3 linked regions of the Schizosaccharomyces pombe genome follow. Changing the gene in region 3 together with the main gene of any one other region gives a genetic interaction. Each region holds a gene or a part of one and is shown on either strand. Other genes may lie near its edges.

What was found. A genetic interaction does not mean that the proteins touch.
Region 1: mutations in cwf15 (region 3) and plb3 together harm fitness more than expected from each alone (negative genetic interaction), as found in Schizosaccharomyces pombe (one large-scale study listed by BioGRID).
Region 2: mutations in cwf15 (region 3) and iss9 together harm fitness more than expected from each alone (negative genetic interaction), as found in Schizosaccharomyces pombe (one large-scale study listed by BioGRID).

Annotation. Positions count from the first base shown.
Region 1 is NC_003424.3:1,069,351-1,076,925, reverse strand, and holds plb3 (lysophospholipase Plb3), read left to right. Parts: upstream 1-4,563; 5' UTR 4,564-4,798; coding exon 4,799-6,787; 3' UTR 6,788-7,003; downstream 7,004-7,575. Other genes in the region: plb1 (lysophospholipase 1), read left to right, coding at 308-2,149; SPOM_SPAC1A6.11 (uncharacterized protein), read right to left, coding at 3,072-3,392; wdr55 (WD repeat-containing protein), read right to left, coding at 7,110-7,575.
Region 2 is NC_003423.3:2,964,533-2,971,367, forward strand, and holds iss9 (nuclear export factor), read right to left. Parts: upstream 2,077-6,835; 5' UTR 1,991-2,076; coding exon 1,343-1,990; exon of another isoform or gene 1,293-1,342; coding exon 1,163-1,292; intron 1,095-1,162; coding exon 685-1,094; 3' UTR 573-684; downstream 1-572. Other genes in the region: bmc1 (Bin3 family regulator), read left to right, coding at 1-303, 346-543; origin recognition complex subunit Orc6, read left to right, coding at 2,823-3,004, 3,063-3,675; protein ess1, read right to left, coding at 3,790-4,263. UniProt on the Schizosaccharomyces pombe protein: Required for transcription elongation. May also be involved in pre-mRNA splicing.
Region 3 is NC_003423.3:1,035,808-1,043,724, forward strand, and holds cwf15 (protein Cwf15), read right to left. Parts: upstream 6,223-7,917; 5' UTR 6,167-6,222; coding exon 6,152-6,166; exon of another isoform or gene 6,093-6,151; coding exon 5,310-6,092; 3' UTR 5,181-5,309; downstream 1-5,180. Other genes in the region: rhn1 (RNA polymerase II transcription termination factor), read left to right, coding at 1-27, 96-290, 338-1,057; serine/threonine protein kinase Ppk27, read left to right, coding at 1,270-1,975, 2,043-2,578; chaperonin-containing T-complex theta subunit Cct8, read right to left, coding at 2,740-4,095, 4,382-4,503, 4,556-4,595, 4,649-4,771; ecm14 (carboxypeptidase), read right to left, coding at 6,488-6,586, 6,627-6,874, 6,916-7,044, 7,094-7,199, 7,241-7,917. UniProt on the Schizosaccharomyces pombe protein: Involved in pre-mRNA splicing.

The DNA of each region.
Region 1 (7,575 bases), on a different chromosome or scaffold from region 3:
GTTTTTAGTCCCGTTTTCCTGCCTTCTTTAGTTCTATCTATTGTGGGGTTTGTGTTTTCGTCCACTATTTGCAAATTCTAGGTTTTTGTTACTTTACCACTTTTTCCTCTCCGACTTACGGAATAGTATCAGTCCGAGATCTTGATTGGGTGTCATTCGGAAAGTAATACACTCGTGTGACGTTTATTAAATTTTTTTTCTTATATACCCTTTCCGTCCCACTCCCAACTTTGAACGTTCATTTGGGGATTTAATTTGCATACATCTTTGCATATCTATTCTCAACATTTTAGTTTAAATATTCAAAATGCTTTTCCGCGGATTAAGCCTGTGGATGCTCTTTTTGGCATCCTGCCTTTCTGCCCTTGCTCTTCCCGCTGCTGAAGACGATGGTTCTGTCAAGGTCTTCAAGCGTGCCAAGAAGCATAGCACTAAGCAAGAGGGACCCAGTTACGCTCCTTATTATGTGGACTGTCCCTCTGATAACATTGTCGAGAGTCTCTCCAGCAATGAGATTCCTAGCGCCGAGTCTGAATACTTGAGCACTCGTTCTACTATTACCAACACTGCCATGAAGGACTTCCTTCGTAACGCCAACTTGCCTGGTTTGAATGCCGATACTCTTTCTGGCTCTGAAGGTCCTTCTATCGGTATTGCCTTGTCCGGTGGTGGTTTACGTGCCATGATTTTGGGTTCTGGTGCCCTCTCTGCCATGGATGCTCGTCACGACAACCACACTGTTTTGACTGGTCTCCTTCAAGCCTCTGACTATCTCGTTGGTACTGATGGTAGTGCCTGGACTGTTGGTGGCATTGCTCTCAACAATTTCAGTACCATTAACGACTTTAGCAAACTTTGGGCTTTCAACCACCCTTTGATGTATCCCAAGAGTGCTATTGTTTTCAACGCTCATTTCTACAGTTCTATTATGAATGAAGTTGCCGAAAAGGCCAATGCTGGCTTTAACATCAGTCTTTCCGATTACTGGGGACGTGTGATTTCTCGTACCCTTGGTGACACTACTTATGGTTTCCCTAATGTCTCTTTGTCTAGTATTACTTCCCAAGAATGGTACCGCAATGCCAACTTCCCTTACCCCATCATTACCTTTGCTACCCAAAACTATGGTGAGGATATTAGCAATGTTAACACTACTTTCTTTGAAGCTTCCCCCAACGTTTTCGGTACCTTTGACCATGGAATCAACTCCTTTATTCCTACCGAATACTTGGGTACTACCTTAAACAATGGTGCTAGCAGCAATGGTTCTTGCGTTATCAACTATGACAACTTTGGTTTCATGATGGGTGCTTCTTCTACTTACTTCAACAAGATAATGCGTAACTTCAATGACTCTTCTACCAAGAACGGTCGTATCATCCAACAATACTTGAAAGGTAACTTTTCTGAAAACGGTCAACAAATCATCTCCATTCCCAACCCCTTCCAAGGTGTTGAGAGTGCTAATTCTGATGCTGCCAACAACTTGGGTTCCAGCTCTTCCCTTAACTTAGTTGATACCTTCCTTACTGGTGAGAAGATTCCTTTGTGGCCTTTGTTGCAAAAGGGTCGTGATGTCGATGTTATCGTTGCCGTTGACAATGGTGATGACAGTGAATGGCTCTGGCCCAACGGTAACTCTCTTGTCCAAACTTATGAGCGTGTCGTTGCTGCCCAAGCTGCCGGAAACACCAATGTTAAGGGTTTCCCCTACGTTCCTAGCCAACAATCCTTTGTCAGTCTTCACTTCAACGATCGCCCTGTCTTCTTTGGTTGTGATGGTCGTAACACCACTGCTGGTAACCACACTGTTACCCGTGACACTCCTCCTTTGGTTATCTATCTTCCCAACGTTCCTTACAACTACTTCACTAACATTTCCACTGATCGCACCTACTACACTGAAGACATGATTCAACAACTTCTTACCAACGGCCTTATTTCCTCTACCGTTGACAATGACACCTACTTTGGTCAATGTTTTGCCTGTGCCGTTGTTAAGCGTACTTTGGAGCGTAACAACATCACTGCTAGCCCCGAGTGCCAACAATGCTACTATAACTACTGCTGGAGCGGTCTTTATGATGACAGCGCTGCTAATGATGATATTGTCTACAATCCTACTTGCCGTCTTGGTGAAGGCATTTAAGGAAAGGCGCATGCAAACTTTTCTCTCTTCAGTATTTATACGACATATCTGTTGCTCACAAGCAAAAGATAGAGGGCAATGCTTATGCCTGGAAAAAAGTTTTTAAAAAAAATCTATACAATGTCTGCTGTCTTAGCATAAATCAAACCTAGCCATATATGTGAATCAATCCAATTACGCGATATGGGTTTTTGTTAACGGATTATTAAACTGAACGTTCACTCCGCTCTAATTAGGGAGACTATTTTGTTATCTTCCGAAAGTATTTTATTCTAATTTACCCTCTCTTCGGAATGTTTTTTGTTCATTTTCTATTGTGAGCTTTCGTTTGCTGTAATTCAGTTTTGTTGACGGCTCCAAATTGGACGTGTTCTAGTTGTTTATGAGAGTTGCTGTTATATATAGTTGCGAAAATAAGTCATTTTTTTAATTCTTGGTTGTAATAAGAATGTTGTTTGTCTATATAAATAAGTTGACTGTAATTTTTTTGTTTTGTTTGATTCAAAAAATTATTATTTATATGTATATATTTTGTATGATAAAATTTGATTTTTAAAGGTTTGCTATACTTGAACAAGGAATAGTGAACTTTAACATACAGCCTATAATTCATTAATTAGGATGAGGAAGGAGATGTAGAAATGAAAAAATTTAGTTAACGTAAAACAGATTATACGATCATTTACAAATTATATCAACTGTACGCAATTTAATCAATGAAGTAGTGGGGATGTAGATGAGACAGTATAGAATACATCACAACGAGTAATGGGAGAAAAAAATTGTAGTAGTTGCGCGGGTTTTGCTCGGCCTCGGGCTTTACTTTCTAATCCGATGACTGTGAGTTACGTGTTTTGCAAAATTATTTAGCAAGTGTGCATTTTATGCTTTAAGTCTAAACGAAATGGGATCCGAGTTAACTTTAAGTTGAGGCTTTGCTTTTGATATAGGTATGCGCATGCGATTTACAAAAATCTAATCGAACAGAAGTAAGTATGTGTGTATGATAATAACATTTTGATAAATAAAGAAAACTGGCTAAACATATATTATGTAGAATTGAAAGAGCATAATTACAAGAAGAAAGACACTTGAAGATATGTTGTGATGTCATTAGATGTAGCGACTTTACAAACATGAAACTATGAGGAAAAAAAGAGTTACTGAGAGAGATTGATGATATTTTATATACACCATGACTCCAAAGATTGAAGGAAGTTAATAAATAAACATTGTGATTCATATTTTAATCAATTATGTAAAATGCGGCCAGTTGTAATGTAATGCGACTAATTTGATGCCAGTAATGTGTGTTAAATAATAGTCAAGGACAATCTGCAAGTTCCTTAGAAAGGTCCGGTTTCGAAGAGGCACACTTAATATCCGAGGGCGGCGCAGTTGAAATAACCAGCCCGGTTGAACGCTACATTCTCCTATACTTAACCTGCAAATGTTTCCGTCGTTAAGGATTTTAGATATATAGCTTAGCAACATTCATCCCAATGTGAACTTTAAAGCAGTCATAGTTGACCAGAAGATGAGCAACAAATTCAACGTAAAGGCTTGCGTCTCAGCGACTGCTCAAAATATAGATTTACACAACAACTTTACATATTAAGCGATATTTAAAGGACCGACAGTCTCGGTCTCTTTTCGCATAGAACGGAAGGGCATTTACATCATGGGGATGTAAATGGACCTTTTTTGATCTACAAAATGGGAATCTAAAAAATCTGTCAAAGATAGACATATGTGTCTCTGCTTACATATATATACATATATATATAGGCTGAATCACTTTCAACTTGCCTTTTCCCAATATTAAAATTATCGCACAAGTCGCTACTTTAGCTACTACTAACTTTTAGGGTAAGAAAGTGTAAGGGGGGATTTGCTTGGAGACTAGGCATGAGCTTGTATTTAATTGGAATAAAAGAAAAAGAATAGGAATTCATGAATTTGTTGAATGAAATTGCAAAACTGCAAGTCATTTGTATGAAACATAAAGCAGATGAATCCCAGGTTTTCGGTTACGATGCGACGTTTGCCGATGAACAGAAATGGTAAATGGTTTCGCATTTGATTCCGCAATACCGCAAACAGAAAATTTTATAAACCATGGAATTGTCAAGCGTTTCGCCAAATTCAAGAGCAAAATCCAGTGTTTATCTTAACATTGAGACGCTATGCTTTTTAATAAAAATCAATAACTTTGGATACTAACTTGTCATTTATTTAGACACAAATTACAATAATCAGATCCTCATATACCGGAGCAGAAATAACAGCACGGTAAGCAGATACAGTGATACAGTAAGAGCTGCGTTGGAATACGGGTGAATTTCAGCTATAAGGAGTTTTAAAATTTTTACGTAGTAGGGCGCTTTTGGTTTAATTTGTTTCACCATCCGTTTACAAATATTCCGTTGTTGTGTTGTTTTCGTTCACAAGAAAATTGTTTGAGGGTATAGTCAATTTTCTAAACTTTTGTGGGTCTAGAGAGACAGTCGTTGATTCCATCGTTTGTTTTGAGCGCGTTTTTGTAACGGCCTTCTAATCTCTGAGTTCAAGCAAAGCGGTGTGTAGATTTTGGCATAATTTCCCAAATTTATTGACCTAAAGACGGTTTAACTATAAAAAAAAAAGACAATGTTATTTAATTGTTTTGGAATACTCGCTCTGCTCCAGATCCTGCCGGCCTTGGCGTACCCGCCTTGTCGCGAGCAAATGTCGGATCCGTATGAGTTTGGGGAATCTGACTTAATGAGACCGGGCATGCATGACACGCCTCTTTCATTAATGCAAAAACGAGAGGCTTTGGCGATTTCGCTTTCCAAGCGCGACAGTGTTGGATCATACGCGCCTTATAATGTAACTTGTCCTAGTGACTATATGCTACGACCTGCTTCTGACGGAATAAGTTCAGGCGAGCAAAGTTTCATTGATAAACGTATCCCCAAAATCAATACACAAATGAGGTCCTTTATTTCCAACACTGGTTTGGACGTAGATGTAAACTCTGTGATTAATGATTCAGATGGCCCTCGTTTAGGACTTGCATTTTCTGGCGGTGGACTCCGCGCTATGGTCCACGGAGGAGGTGTTTTAAATGCTTTCGATTCTCGAAATGGCAATGGTTCTTCACTTGCTGGAATTCTTCAATCCGCCATGTATATCGCTGGTCTTTCTGGTGGTTCATGGCTGGTCGGTTCCGTAGCTGTTAATAACTTTGCCAATATTACTTATCTACGTGACAACGTTTGGAATTTGGAACATAGTGTCTTTGCTCCTCATGGTGACAATGTTGTCGAAAATCTTGCTTATTATGACGACCTGGATGATGAGATTGATCAAAAGAAAGATGCAGGATTCGATACTTCTTTGACCGATCTTTGGGGACGCGCTTTATCTCGTAAGCTTGTCGATGCTACCCAAGGTGGTCCAAATATCACATTTTCTAGCATTAGAAACCAAACTTGGTTCCAAAATGCCGACTATCCTTATCCCATCATTATATCTGACAGTCGTTTGGAAGAGGAAAAAGCTATCCCTGCCAACACCAGTATATTCGAATTTACTCCATACGAGTTTGGTACTTGGGACAATGGTATTAAAGCTTTTCTCCCTATGGAATACGTCGGTACCCATTTAAAGAATGGTGTTCCACCAGACCATAAGTGCATTCGTAACTATGATAATGCCGGTTTTGTTATGGGTACTTCAGCTACATTGTTCAACACGTTTCTGTTAGAATGGAGTCAGGAAGTAACGTCAAATAGTACTCTCTATGATATTATTCATAAAGTATTTGAAAAACTTTCTGAGGATCAAAATGACATCGCTCCTTACCCCAATCCTTATCAGAATTTCACGACTACAAACACCACCGTCAAAAACCCTTTTGAGCGATTCGATACTATTGATTTAGTAGATGGTGGTGAAGACGATGAGAACATTCCTATTTGGCCTTTGTTACATCCTCAAAGATTTGTTGACGTTATATTTGCTGTTGACGCAACTTATGATGATTCTAATGGTTGGCCTGATGGCTCTTCTATTGTTACTACATATGAAAGGATTATAACTTATAACGCCAATAAAAGTGTTGATGTTCGAGGTTTCCCGTATATCCCTGATGAGGACACAATCATTTCCTTGGGACTGAACACTCATCCAACATTCTTTGGATGTGACGGCAGAAACACTACTGCAGGTAATCATACCGTAGATAACAATACACCTCCTCTTCTTGTTTATTTCCCCAATTATCCTTGGGTTTACTATTCCAATATTTCCACGTTTACCATGTCTATGAATGACACTTTGTCCAGTGGCATTCTTGAAAATGCTGCTCTATCGGCTACTCAAAACAACAGCGATTCATTTGCAGTCTGTTTGGCATGCGCCATGATACAACGTTCCTTGGAGCGCAAAAATATGTCTACTCCTAGTCAATGCTCTTCTTGTTTTGAACAATACTGCTGGAATGGAACAACCGTGAACAACCCTAGTGCCGTTTCAAACTATGCTCCTACTGTGTTATCTGCATCAACCACTTCTGGTACCTCTTCTGTACGAGCCAAACCTATAGTATTTTATTTATTTGCTTCGCTTCTAACAGTTTCGTTACTATTATAGACGACGAAAGCCTCCCCCACTCACACACCTTGGTATGAGTCACTTTTCGACTTGAAAGAATTAAAAAGCATAGACTGAGTCAGGCTTTTATTTATTAATTGTAAGGTATTAATCACTACCAAACTTGTGGGGTTCAAAGGTTTTGTAGTTTTAGTGTTAGTGTTAGTGAATTCATTTTAAGTTTTCGAAGCACAATGTTTCTTTTCTCTAATGAAGATGTTTAGTTTAGTTAATTTAGGAAGATCGCTTTTATTTTTAAATATACAGACAATTAATTTTAATAATGATTGTGCAATTTTATAGATATCAAAGCTGTTTTGAATTATAAACCGTCAAAAAAGTCAGTTCCTAAAGGCTTTTTCCCTTGATTTCCCACCTTTTTCTTTTTCTTAGGACTCGAGAATTCAGAGTCGCTGCTGGAATCTTCATCACTATCTAAATTATCAGAGGAGGATGACTCATCTCCTTCCTTCTGATCAACCGGCCAGAAAGCTAGTTCGGTTCCACTACAGGAAACTAAAAAATTGCCTTCGGTAGTAACATCCACAGCGTCTACGGTTGATCGCGAAGAGTGTTGCCCTATAATTCTTTCGTATTTGTTTGGAAGAATGTGTAACAAACGTATACATCCGTCGCTTCCGCCAACATACAGACTGTCAGAATCAGCACGAGTTATTGTTTCTATTGAAAAATCATGGGACCGAATTGGCGATAAAATGCGATCGGTATGATCCCCCCAATCACCCTTTGTAAATAAAGTTATAACTCCACTGGCAGTACCAACAGCA
Region 2 (6,835 bases), 1.9 Mb from region 3:
TACCCCATTTCAAGCATTAAAAAGTTTTCCAGGATACCAGTGCAACTTCAACCACCTCTCAATAAGCAAAATTTCCCTCACAATATAGAATTTGAGACCGCTGACTTCTTGCGCTGGGAATCGAAACGAAAATTCAAAATAATACTAGCATTATCCGTATCTAAATGGGTGCATCTAAATAACCACGATGAAGGAATCATTAAATTCTTTGGGAAGATTAGTTCTTTATTGGAAACGAATGGTGTTCTTATTTTAGAACCTCAAGGATGGGACTCGTACTTGAAAGCTGCAAAAAAAATATCTGTAAGTCACGACTATCAATACTTCTAACTCTTACTTTTCTAGGTTTTTAATCAAACACCTGAGAACCTCAAAATCCAACCTGATGCGTTTGAACATTTGCTTAATCAAGCAGGACTAGTGCTTGAATACAGTATCGAACCTCAAGTAAATAACTCTGAGTACAAGAATTTTGCCAAACGAACAATGTATATCTATAAAAAAAAAGGAATTGGAATCATAAAACTATTAACTTCTACTTAATTGTCTAGTAAAACGTTAAGAATAGACAATGACTGGAACTATAAAGCATAATGTCCCAAAAGGACGTGTCTCATTTTTTATTAAATTCTCTAATTCAACATATGAGGAAAGAAAGAAAAGCGGAATGAAGTAGTTTTATTATTAGATTTGGCCTTTAATATCAACCACAGCATGCTTTTTCATGCATTTTTCGAATCTATCCGTGCTTTCTTTCATCAGTATGCGATTGGGATCTTTTGAATCGTATACAGCATTACAACTCCTAAAAAAGTTTACACAATCTTCCATTTCTTCAAATGCTAGTGTGTTAGCCAAAAATTCCATTGTAAGAGAAGGGCGATATGCTTTGCACATCATTATCATCGCCTGCACTCGTTCTCTCTCAATAAAAAGATCCATCAAATAACCTCCCATGTTGGGAGCGACTAAATATAGATGGAAAAATTTATAGTAATCGCCAGTAGCCATCGCCGAACGGACTTCTAATGCATGTGTAACAGCAGCGTTTGTTTTGTCTTCTTCTTTTAGATTGGCGAGAAGGCTATTCATTTCTATAAATTGTTAATAATTTGAATTCAAAAGATATATTCTTTTAAGCAGTAAGCCGTAATTAACTTACCAGATCGATTTTTAGTGAAGAGCATATACAGAATACGATATGCTAAAAATTCCTTAGTATTCCCTGGTATACCAAAACTGTAAAGATGAAATAATTGAGTTTGACATTGGTTATACTCGCCAACATCACCCTAGTCGAACGTTAGAAGAAGAAATGATATTTTAAAGTAATTAACCGTACCTTTTCAAGAGCTATACGAGCATGTATTTCGTAAACTAATACAGAAAACTCATTTTGAATCCTTTGCACAGTTAAATCCTGTCTTAAACTTTTAAATTGATCGCATATATATGCATAGTTTTTCTCTTCTTTCCATTTCTTCTTTAAAAGTTCGAGAGTTTGCTTAAGAACTGGAAGGGGTCGAACAGTATCCGGATCAGGAGCCGAAGTTAATCGCAAATACCTTTTCTCTAATTCTGTGGACCGTCCTATAATAGCACCATTCTCCGGGTTGACTTTTAGCTCTTCAGATTTAGCGTTATTTTGAGAACGAGAACCATTTTCAAACCTTCTTCTTCTTTTTTCTTTCTTATCCACTTCATCTTCTTCACTTAAAAGTGAAAATTGATTTCCAGAAACAGGCTTCTCAACCTTTCTTTTTTTATCTTCGATGATTGTATTTTGAGCATTTGTCAGTTTCCTTAGGGATTCTAAATTCATAGAAGACCAATCAACATTCCATATGTTTCCCATTTCGTATTGACGAGAAATTAGCAATTTTACTTCATCCTCTAATTCTGGCTGGCTGTTTTCCTCAGCGTCTTGGATGCATCTACCAATAAATTCTTTCAAAGAGTCCGGCCAAGGGCTATGATGTTCTTTTTTCATATTTAATATTTTTCATTGAGCTATATGATTAATGCTAAAGTTAAGTACTTTTCTCAACTTCCTCAATTGCTAAAGTGGTGAGTACCGAGATTGTATGAGAAGTGCGAGTCCGTCAGCTTAACCCTGTCAGTAACGTTGTAAGTCGATTTCATTATCCAACCTTTCAATCAATAAGGATTAATTTATTACTATTCAGTTGATCGTTCATCATTTTTTCCTTTAAAAATTTAAAAAGTCATCAAATAATTCAACGGTTCCACCTAAACTTGTTTGTTCGCTTAAAATTTATGAAACCAACATGGAAAGTAGTTAATATTAACTCACGCTATTCACGCATATTTTATTCTGTATGCCTCATATAGCCTTGATTAAACTACTAAAAGAGAGTAATATACCGAATTATCAAGCCTAAAACACTACCTCCCAATAAAGCAATCGTAATTCATTATTAAATAAAAAAAAATTTGAAGACTGCTTCGAAAGTTTTGTAGTAATATCTTGAAGAATGTAGGTCTAAATTCTAAGCTTTTGGTGACATTATTTAAGATAACTAGCAACCGGAATGATTAAGCAAGAGTCATATTAAATAAGTACGGAATATAAACACCAAATTCAGTGGTGCATCAAGTAGATAGATTTTATATTTTTGAAACAGCTGGTAGTATTAGCAGCATTAAAAACATCGTTTAAATGTCTCTGTATTAAACACCATATTGACATAAAACAAACTAAGCGTTCACCACTATTATGATATTATGAATGATTACATGATTTCAATAATTAATAATCAAAATTAAATGATAAAAGTTTTATTAAATATATTCATTTTCTCATGGAGCGACAACAGATTATAGAGTCTTTACGCAGAATAATTCCCACTGAAAGTACAGAATATAATGAACGGCTTATTAGTTTAGGAGAGTCATTTTTGGAATGGTCCAAATATAAACATAATCTAAAGGCGACAGAAGAGTTATGCCGTCCTTATATGGCAGCGCACTTAGCTTGTGAACTGTAAGTAACTTCTGATGTTTAATTACTCTACTTGAACTTGTTCTGACTCTTTAAAAAGATTATCCAATGATTTAAATTTGGAAATAAATTTACTAGCGACTCCAATTCCAAAAAAGAAATACTATAAACTTTTCACTTACTTTCAAGAAATCTTATCTCCATTAACTAAATCCTTAGCAGCTAAAGATGATCTGATGGAAACCATTACTTATCTTTGTACCAAACTAGGGGGCTCAACTGCTATACCTTATGTTAAACAATTGGTGAAAGCCGTTGTTACAAACGACATGCGCATCGAACACAAAAGAGGCATCATAATCGCAGCTTATTTACTAGTATCGGCAAAAGCTTTTGGAAAAGACGAACTTCATATAAATCACACCGAGAGAAGAAAGGCACAGAGTGTTTTACAGGATACAAGTTCTGCATTGCAAATTCAGTATTGGATGCATGTCCTCTCAGAAAGTTGGCAGTATAAAGAAATCCCTTTAAATGGTATAGAGGGTTATGAATCTCAAAAGCAACGGATAAAACCTTGGAGTGGGATAGCAAGCATGATTCAAATAGATTACGAAAAACGACTTCAAAATTATCCAATATGGAAGGCCTGCATTGAAGAAAGAATCCAATATTACAAAAGCCAGCTTGAAAAAGATGGTACTGCTTCATGAATACAATTTACTATATTAATTTTTTTTTGTACATTAAACAACATTTATAAACGGGTACACGATATCTTTAGTGATATATACAAATACATGAGTAAAAAAAAGTTAAATTAGACTCTAAGCTTTACTAATAGACCACTCCAAATTTGTAATAGACACTTCTGAAGAGGCATTTTCATCATAGTCATACCAATCATCCTCTAATACTATTTCGTCAAAAAGTGTATTACTTTCAGCACCATTAGCTATCCATTCTCCCTGAGGAATGAATTCGACTAGTTCACATCCTCTGCATTCCAATACGAGAACTTTTTTCGTCTCTTGAGAATCATTGTAAGGAGAGAATGGCCCCTCTATAACGAAAGAGCAAGTTTTGCGACAATTTTTGCACGTCCATATGAGATTAGCCTCGCCCTTGCTGCCAGGTATGCTGTGAGTCTCGCTGCGGGAGATTTCAATGGCATTGTCGTGAATCTCTCGACAACCACTACATTGGACTTTAAAAGCATAATAGAAGGATTCTTCATCCTTGGGAGCTAAATTTTTCACACCAGTCAACTCAGCGTTTAAGTTAAGAGCAAATTTTCCCATATTGCGAAAGAAACTCTAGGAATGCAGCTTAACAAGCCGTTATATGTAATAAATTGAAAGAACAAGAAGATAGTAGAGTATGGGTATGTTGTTCGAAACGAATCTGTATTTTGGAGGATTAGAGTAATTTGCCTTTTGGTGGATTACGATGGTGAATGAATGAATATGCATGAATAGATACACCTATTTTAAGTCCGTAGAATGTGAGGGGCAGAAAAAAACTCAATTAAAGCATACTTTTCAATGAAATTAAAAAATTACAGAAATGCTAAATTTGAAGTAATTGGATACGTTTTTCTCATTGAAATAATATATTGATGAAGAATATAACATAGTCAATTATTAAATGAGACTTGGCAAAATCTAAATATCAGCTAAGATAGCTGTTCATTTGAGTGAATTACTTGGAGTTTGCTTAGTGACGGATACATAGTTAGTCTAATATAAAAACATGCCAAATATCCTCGACAATCATTATTCAGCAAGTAATTTTCGAATACTTGGTATCATTTTTAATGTTAAAAGTCATATTGTACTTTTCGCAATGCCGTAGCACAGATAACCAGCTACACGAATTTATACGGCAAATAGTCAAATTCCAACTATTGTGTTTTGTCCATATTTCATTTAATGCTTTACCGTAGACAAATTTACATGCAACTTTTTTATTTGCTTTCTGATTGATTACAACTTGTGTGAGCATTTCAATGTATACCTTCATCTGCAATTGCCCTTTACACACATTATTTCTTTACCTTTATTAACTTAGCCAGAATTGGGAAGGCCAGTCATTCTAGCCTGCAGCATTTTACGTTGTGTTCACTAGGGATCCCTAAAAGGTTAATGTTTTAGGGTGATTAAAGGTCGACTGGTATGGTATGGTATGGTAAAGTGGTATTTTTTGAAAATTGACACCAATAAAACATCTGCATATTTGTAGAAGCAAGAGTGATTCAGTAAGTGCTTGCGAGGAATAAGAGGTGTGGCGTGTATGTTGAGGAGCTTATTAAGCCAATTTTTTTTTTTCATATCTTTAACGACGAGAATCATTCAAAGAGCCAGAACAAAAAACAGATGACATTATTCAGGCCTGTTTACGACTGACATGACGCTATACGAGAAACAATATTGTCGGAGCGAGGATGATAAAAGTGTTGAAAGTGCGAAAATCGTGAATAATCTATATTTATCGCATGTGTCGGGATTGCAAATGGTACCATTGTACTGCAATTAGACTAGGTAGTCCTGGGCAGTCGCTGAGACAGCATTGGAGTTAGTGTTTACAATAGTTGATTATACATGTTTCATGTTTGAATAGCGAGGTTGGGAAAAAGAGAAAAACATCATAATAGTCAATGATGGTATTTAGTCATGATAGTAGTTTATTACAACAGCAACAGTAATGATCATAAGTAATACCATCATAGTAATATTTGTAGAAATAATGATATAAACAGTCCATACTAAGCAGGGATGATATTAGCTATACTAAGATGCCTATGGCAATCTGGAATTACATAACTACGTACGCTTTCTTTTTACATCTACTGGGACACTGTACATGCTAGAGCAGTGCATTCTGCTATTTTGATTTTTAGTGAGCTCGCGTGCAGCTTGATCGACAAAGGATCGACTAAAAAAATGCGGGATTTACAATACATAAGATTCACCAATAAGCAGAGTTAGAAGCCAAGGCCCGCATATTGGACCACTCACCAGCCCGTTACGCTTCCTCCTTATTCGCCTTTAAAATACTAAGTAAACACAAGTAACATACGTTTCCTCCATGCTCGCTAAATTGGTAGCAATAAAAAAATAGCGAGCACGCTCGGATGAGATAAGAAGACATAGCAAAGCTTAAAACATTAGTAAATAGTACGTGCATTCTTTATGGCAAAACGTTTTAACATTTTCTGATATTAATATTAAACAAGAAGAAAAAGAATAGAGTAAAAGTTAAATGTAGGGTGCAACGTTCCGTAGAAGAGGACTACGTGAAAATGACAGCAAAGTATAGTTTTGTGTATGTCAACAATCGCCGTAACCCCGGGACACCCCCAAAAAAGGTTTTACCTATTGTTTTCTTAATCTATTTACGTACCAGCAGGAACAATGCAATAAACCACACAAAAAATTTTTAACGTACTGGATCAGCAAGGAAAGAAGGGCGATAAGTAAATGAATAATATGATATATTCGAAAATGCTTTTTTTTTGGATTACTAAGTACAGCATTGCTTCTATTTCCATAGCAATCCACTCTTTCGTGTGTTTGTTTACAACTAGTAGTAACTGTTTTCATTACTTTCGTAGAGGCGAATTGCTCTTTAACCTTGCTGACTCATTTGTTTCGGTAATCACAGACGATTGGTAACAAGTATGTCAAAGAGGCCAGCCATTTGATTCCCTTCTGCACCCGGTAGATAATCGAGCAATTGAAGACTTAAGGACTAGTGATTAGACAAAAGTGTCTGCCTCGCCTTCTCCGATTTCGTTACCTTATGAGATTGAAATTTCACCAATTTCACAACCCTGCCTTTGCAACACCTTCTTGAAGGGACTCTACTCTCTCT
Region 3 (7,917 bases):
TCTGAATATATTGATGCCGTTTCTCCAGTAAGTTACTATCATTATGAGCTTGGAACATCTCCTATATGGTTTAGATTCTAATAATATTTGCATAGTATGTCGTAAACTCTGTAGCTGACGCGTACGCGTCAGTTCCTGCTTCCATTAAAACAAAAATCAAATACGTTTTTGACGTTTGGTGTCAACGCGGCATATTTTCTAAGGAGATACTTTTATCCTTGCAGGAAAGGTTTAATAATGCCGAGAACAGTGGCCATTCTAACTATTACCCCGTTGGCCCTCCGGAATGGGTATGCCGCAATTCAAATAAAATATCAGAACTTTACTAATTGCATAGGCACCTTACACTCGTTTAATGACACAAACTAGTTTATACGCAAAATCTGCTCACTCTACCAAAACTGTGGTAGATGCATTGTATAAATCATACTTGGAGAAACAATCAGATTATTCTGAACTACTCGATAATTATAAAAAGCAACTAAATAAAGCCTCTGAATCATGTAAAGGTAATTATCAGGCTTGCATCGAATCCCGATCCACACTCATTACTTCCTTGGAATCGCTTATAGAAGAACAAAAAAAGCTACTTTCAGAGGAAGAAGAGAGCCTAAAATCTGTTGAATCCATAATTTCTAATTTAGAGAATAAGGAAAGTACAACAGCTACCTCTACCTTGACCGATGCAGGTTTTGGAGATAAAAGTTCTACTGCTGGCAAACATAATGTAGAAACAACATCACCTCCGTCTAGTTCTCCAAACAGTGATGATGCTTATTCTCCTCAAGTAGATTCTTACTCTCCAAGCATTAACAGCGTACCATATACTTCCAATATTGTCGAAAATCCATCTGAAGACAATCTCTCTCCTCTTCCTCCTCCTGCCAGTGGACCCTATTCCCAAGAAGAAGAAGAAACATCATTATTTAAAAGCCAGAGAAAAGAAGAAAATGAAGAGGAATCTAAAGAATTACCAGAAGACTCAGATATCTATGGAAAAGATAGTTCTCCCTCTTCGGACGACTCTAGTGCAGCTGGTCTATATGGTGATAGCTGAAATCCATGAAATGTAATGCTTAGTTTTCATTATTTTTCTTTTTTTTTTTAAACTGTCAATCAATGTGGCAGTCTTAGTCAATAAGCATTTTTAGAATACCTATCCTAACCTTTTATATGCGTCAGTACCTGACTTCATCCTATCGAAGCCGTTTTTGGAATTTTGTATATTTCGAAGAAAGTTGAGCCCTATCTAGGAAGAATGGGCTTTTAATGTCTGAAAAAAAACATTCTTGCGAAGAAAAATCGCTGCAACTATATCCTCTTTCAAATAAAATTCGTCATGTAAATCCGAATATTTCAGCTCTTCCGTCTGAGACTGATATATCTGAATCATTGACGAACGATTTAACTAAACTAGAAATTTCTAACTATGCTCCATTTAATAGAGATTTAGAGACTTTTTCCGATTTAATTTTTGGCTTAACTAATATACAAAAAAAATCATTGTATTCTCTTCAATTAGGCAGAAGTAGAGGATATGCTTTATATTCAGACGAGAATGAGAAATATTTGTGGTCTATAAATACTAAAATCACCTCTACGGAACAAAGGGAAGTACTGCTTGTCAAATCTAATAATAAGAAGTTTGATACTTCCATCGTCCTAAAACATACTCACTTATCATCCAAGTCTCAAAACGAAAAAAAAGCTAGAGTAAAAGTATTTCGGCAAGAAATTTGGGCCCTCAAAACTTTGTCGCATCCATGTGTTGTGCAGCTATTAAATTACTACGTTTCCTCCGCCGAATTAATACTCGTAGAGAATTATTGTATGGGAGGAGATCTCTATCATTACACTAAAAAACATCATTCGGATTTCAGCCTTGAATTTGTTGGGCGAATTTTTTCTGAGTTAGTACATACAGTTGCTTACCTTCATTCCAAATGTTTGATTCATAGAGATTTAAAACTTGAAAGTAAGCTCGATGAATAAGGATTTTCAACTTTTACAGTTATGATTTTAAACTAACACTTTGTCTTTAGATATATTGCTTACCCAACCTTATAATGTTATAAAGACGATTGATAATTGGAAGAACTACCCAAATGCTTTAATTCAGATTTCTGACTTTGAGCTTTCTATTTTTGTTGACAGTAAAAATCATTTAGTGCAATCCAGCTGCGGCAGCCAAGAATATGCACCACCGGAAGTTTATATGGGTATTGCACATGATGGATTTCGCGCGGACGCTTGGTCTCTCGGAATAGTTTTATTTGCACTATTAGAGGGTCGTCTTCCCTTTGACTCCTACCCAACTTTGGATCCTGAGAATGTAAGGATCAAACGTTATGTTCAAAGGCTTGTAAGATGTGATTATACATGGCACTTATGCAAATCGCCATTCAAAAGATCTACTGGAAATACTAATGATAACGACGATCCTTCATGGCGGTTCCGCTTATTTGTGAAAAAACTTCTCAAAAATAGAGACCAGCGCAGCACACCGACTGAATTGTTAAAAGATTTTAATAAACATGGCAACTTTACTTTACCGTTATTAGAGAACGTTACGATTTAGAGACCTTTAATGATAAATGTCTTACTTCAATGGATTATGTCTGTACCTAATTATTTTGATAACGCGCTTTTAATTTCAATAGAAAATTAGTAGCAGATTTTTACAAAAACTATTCATCGTTTTAATCCAATCCTAGTAGAAAAATGAAACTCACTTAAATTTTAATCATCATCCCAATGAGGGTTGGGGCCAGGTGGTTTTGGACCTCCAGCTGGTTTAGACATAACAACTTGATCAACGTTTAAAACAGTGAGTACAGTTTCAGTTGCTAATCTAATTGCTGATTTTTTTGCTAATAAAACATCAAATATACCAGCTTCTTTCGCATCTAATGTTCCATCATTTTCACATTCAACATCAACTCCAATTGATTCACCGTTTTCCTTATGATGGGCAGCATAAAGTTTGCTAATAACATCAGTAGGATCTAATCCAGCGTTTTCTGAAATAGTCCTAGGAACAACCTCAAATGCTTCTCCATACTGTTTGATTGCATGTTGATATATACCAGGAGTTTTTTCACCAACTGAAATTAGACGAATACAGAGTTGCATATCACTAGCTCCAGCACCAAAGATTAAACGGTTATCTTTGACCAAAGCTTTTACGATATTTACACCATCATCAATCGCTCTTTCCAAATCATCCAAGTATGTCTTAGTAGCCCCTCGAAGCACGATTGTTGCAGTACGTGTAATATCCTCAACTTGACGGAATACAGTGACACGATCACCACCAATCTCAATCGTCTCAACAACATCGACGGATCCCATCTCTTCAGGCATGGGAACACCCATACGAGCCAACGGGGTAGCGCCAACCACCCGACATAAGCGACGTAATTCAAATTTGCTTGGCACACGAATAACAAGGATTTCAAATCTATTCAAATAATGTAAAACTAAGTCATTGACATTGCCACTAGTGACAACTACCCTAACACCAGCATCGTAAATTTCTTTAATGTGAGACTCAATAAGGTTCTCCTCTCCTTTAGAAAAGTCAAGCATTTCTTGAGCATTATGCAACAATACTGTGCCTTTTGTTTCGGTTTGAGAAATATCCAAAGGGCATGAAAAAACAGCAACTTTAGCTTCTTTTGAACGTGTAACGGTGCCCTCTGGCTCTCTAGGAAATACCATGCCCTTTACAACCTGAGAGTTATAAAGGCTACTTCCCATAATTTTAACCACACGGATATTGTCAACGTTAAACTTGGATGGATCTTTGGGAAGAACTGTGAGGATCGCTTTAGCAACTAAATCCGAAAGGAAATCTTCATTTCCATATTGCTTAGAAGATATACAAGTTCGAATTGCTTTAATAAGCTCCTTCTCACTTTCAACAGTCTCAATTTTATCAGCACAAATTTCCTCCAAAACCTCCATAGTGTGTGATAAAGCCATTTCGTATCCTTTAGCAATTTCCAAGGGAGTGAGACCCATGCGAATCATGTTTTCAGCCTTGGCTAAAAGTTCACCTGTAAATACAACCACAAAATTTGCAGCATCACCAAGCTAATGGTTAGTAAACAGAAAATGGTTTTAAGAGCAAATCAATGTACAAATATTTGAAGTATAAATAAACAAAGTAAGCGTCAATACGATAGAGTTATATAAAACATGAAAACGTTGATAAAAGGGTAATCAAAGTGCTTTCTAAAATGCCCTTTTGTAAGGCACATGAGTGGATCAAAAGGTAAAGGAAGCTTAAAATAAAGTCCGCAAAGAAAAAAAATCCGCTTATTTAATGTTCAAACAAGTGTATCTCAAAAAAAATTGTACAGTTAATGAATTAACTTACCTCATTCTCCTGTTGTTGGGTAGCATCGACAACTAGTTTAGCAGCAGGATGAATAACCTCCAATTCACGTATAATGGTCGCAGCATCATTCGTCAAAAACGTCTGTTGCAGATGATTGACAACTATGTGTGTGTTAGAGAATAAGAAATGAAATAACTGTTTGAGTCAACATACCAATTTTATTTTTTCCATTTGGACCCAAAGAGGTACGGGTCTAAAAGTATCAGTAAATGAATGAAACTTGCTTAATAAATTATAGGTCCTTACGATTTCTGAAAGTTCACGAATAGCATTACAATTACGGATTACTGCATCCTCTACGCCCTGCATAATCCGATATCCTTCGCGAAACAGTTGAGGCCCAGAGGCCTTTGGAACTCGCAAAGCCATTTTGTTTACGAAAGCCTTTATGTCTTGGTAAAAGTCAAGTGGTGATTAGCCAGTACAGTAGTAAAACTATATTTCGGTATTGAGCAACCATCCTTGCATTATGTTAAATAAATTAGTGATTTCAAAAGTAAAAGCAAACGACTTCAAAAGTATATATATAGTATTTCTCAAATGTTTCCTTCGTACAAAAAGTTATAGTAGTTGTCTTTTTTAAAAATGATAAAATATTTACATTAAATTATAGTAAACTTTTCAGTAACCCCTTCCGTTAACGCAGATTTGGTGAGAGAATAAATAAGATATGCATCACTCAAATAAAGGCTTTGCAATTATAAATTTTGTAAACTTAATATACCAACAATTGTAACTACTAAACTCAGTACAGCCAGTATTAAAACAAAAAAAGAAGCAAGTTATCAATTAAACATTATCATCTCATTTATAAGTAACATTCTTAAAAATTGCCTTGTATGATAGCAGTAGAATGAAGAAATTTTGTTTTGTGGAAAGAAAAGAAGACAGCAAACCCACAGGTGATTTAATCAACAAATCTTGCCAAGAACTTCTTGTGAAACTCGCTTCTCAACATATCATTAACAAATCCAGGCCGAGGTGTGTCATCAACCCCTTTATGTGTATTCCTAAAAACAACGTCTTCGTCCCATCGACGCTTAACTTGAAAAGACCCTGAAGAAGCTTTATTCAAAAGCTCATTTCCAAAAGCTATTTCCCGTTCCCTTTTTTCTTGCTCCAGTGCTCTGTTTTTCTCTTCCTGAAGCATTTGCTCTCGTTTTCTTTCTTGTTTTATATTTTCCAACTCTCGAAGTAGCTGTTGTGTCTCATCTTCTGAATCGGACTCTTCGTCCGAACTTTCTGAATTTGATGAGTCAACGGATTCTTGAGAATTTGATTCTGTTTTTCTTCTTTTAATTGATACCTCAGAATTTTTATTTGAACTATCCACACTGTCGTCGCTATCGCTAGCATCCTCGTCCGCCTCCAAAGTCTGCCGTAACAGCTCTTGATAATCAACCTCAACATCGTTATTGGGTTTATCGTCCGTTGAAGGGGAAGTGAAACCTTCTATGAGTTTTGAATTCTGGCTTACTTCTTCAGAAGAGGCACCATGTTCTTGAGTTGCAAAATGTGCAGCCTCTGCACGTAACAATGCCTCTCGTAAATCCTGTTTTCTGACCTCTTCCTCAGTTCCTTGAGATTCTTGTCTATATTTTAGTTTTAAATGAGCTGGTAATGCGCGACTAGACGTTATCCTAGTAGGGGCCATTTCTGAATGCCCCCTAGCTGGATCAAATTGGGGTCTCTAAACATGAGTTAGTTTTAAATTATAAAATAGAGGATATATATGTAAATTGAGCATACATGTGCAGTCGTCATATTGAAAAAATATGCAATTCACAACTGTTATTATTGAGACTATGTTGGTGGAGTGCAAATACGATTACACCAAAAAATCTTAATATTTACTCTTGCAAAGTAATCATGATTCACTACTTTAGTAAGTATTCACTCTTAAATTCTTATAACGTTCTAAAAAACGTTAATTGATAGAACTGGATTTATTGTTAAGACAGGTAAATAACGCATCAATTGAACCACCTGGAAGGAAGGTATTTATTTTCATAAATTAATAATTACTATAATTAAATTTGGCAAAATTGCCAACAGATAAGCGAATAATTATTGATCTTTCTTGGACTAAAATGCATACTCAGCGATAAACTCTCCATAGTAAAGAATCATCGCAAAAAATTCCTTAGCTGTGGGGACAATCTGTTTAGCAGGTAATAAATATCCCTTGTTTAATTAGTAAAAAATTTTAGAGATATCAACTTACATAATCACCCATGTCTCGTAATCGAATATTGAAAGGCCATGCTACATCAGCAGCAAAATAAACCCAGTCAATGGCAGTTCCAGGTAGGTAATGTTTATGAAATCCATCATACGGTATACATGCTTGTTGATATGTGTAGTATCTACTATTTACGCGATGCAACTCTTTAACTAAGCCAATTGCTAATTCCTCAAAATTCTCAGTATCAGGAGGAAACAAGTCGCAGGTATATGCATAAGGCCACAAAACTAACTTAATTAGTAAATGAAAATAGACTGTCGAAACATACCAGATTGTGAATACGAATGCACATCAAGAAATCCAACGACCTTTTTCTGCTCTTGCGACAAGGATTCAGTTATCAGATTGAACAAGGCCATAGTTTCGTTAGCCTGAAAAGGTGATAATCCTCCATATTCTTGAGTTTGTTAGTTGTAATAAGTCATCAAAAAAAATAGTTCGCTTACCGTTGCTGCAAGGATCAATATTACCGTTGAAGCCAAATGCCCAATTCGCATCGAGATTTATGCCAAAACACTCGGAATTATTAAGAGGCTGTCTGTTTTTTGACCACTGACAAATAATTAGTATATGCTTCATTACAAACCACTTACCAGTCTATCGTTTGACCATGTATATTCATAACCATCAACGTTTAAAACTGGAATAAAAATCCATTCAAATTTATCCAAAAGCTTTCGGACATGACCATCGGAATCATATTTTGCCAACAATTGCCATGCGGCATAGCAAACAGATGGAATACCTATCCACTCACGAGCATGAGATCCTCCTTGAATAATAATCACTTTCTTGTTACGAATCTTTTCCCCGTTGTCGGAAGGATGTCGACCGTTCAATTTTAGGCCTAAAATCGTTCGACCTTCCGCTGTAATTCCAACTGGAACTAGTTCACTTAAATCTTTGTAAAGGGACGCCATCAACCTCAACCAGGAATTAATCGATTCTAAATTCTGATATGACTTGAAAAAAATATCCGTAAAGGAAGTAAACATTTCGTGATTTAAATGACCATTTTCAACGGCTTGAAGGAAAGCTTCTGTGGAAAAAGGGGAATTCGTAGTATCTGGAACAATGCTTTCAAATAAGGTCTCTGTCAGATTGTTTATAAGTATGTCACTACGATATTGACTCTTCCAAAAATCAAAATTTTCTTCTTTTAAACGTAAATCCACATGATCGAAATTGTAGTCCCAAATATCAAGGTTTTGACTTTGAGCTTTCTGCAAGATATCGCTCAAATTATTTTCTTCTTCCAAATGCAAACGGA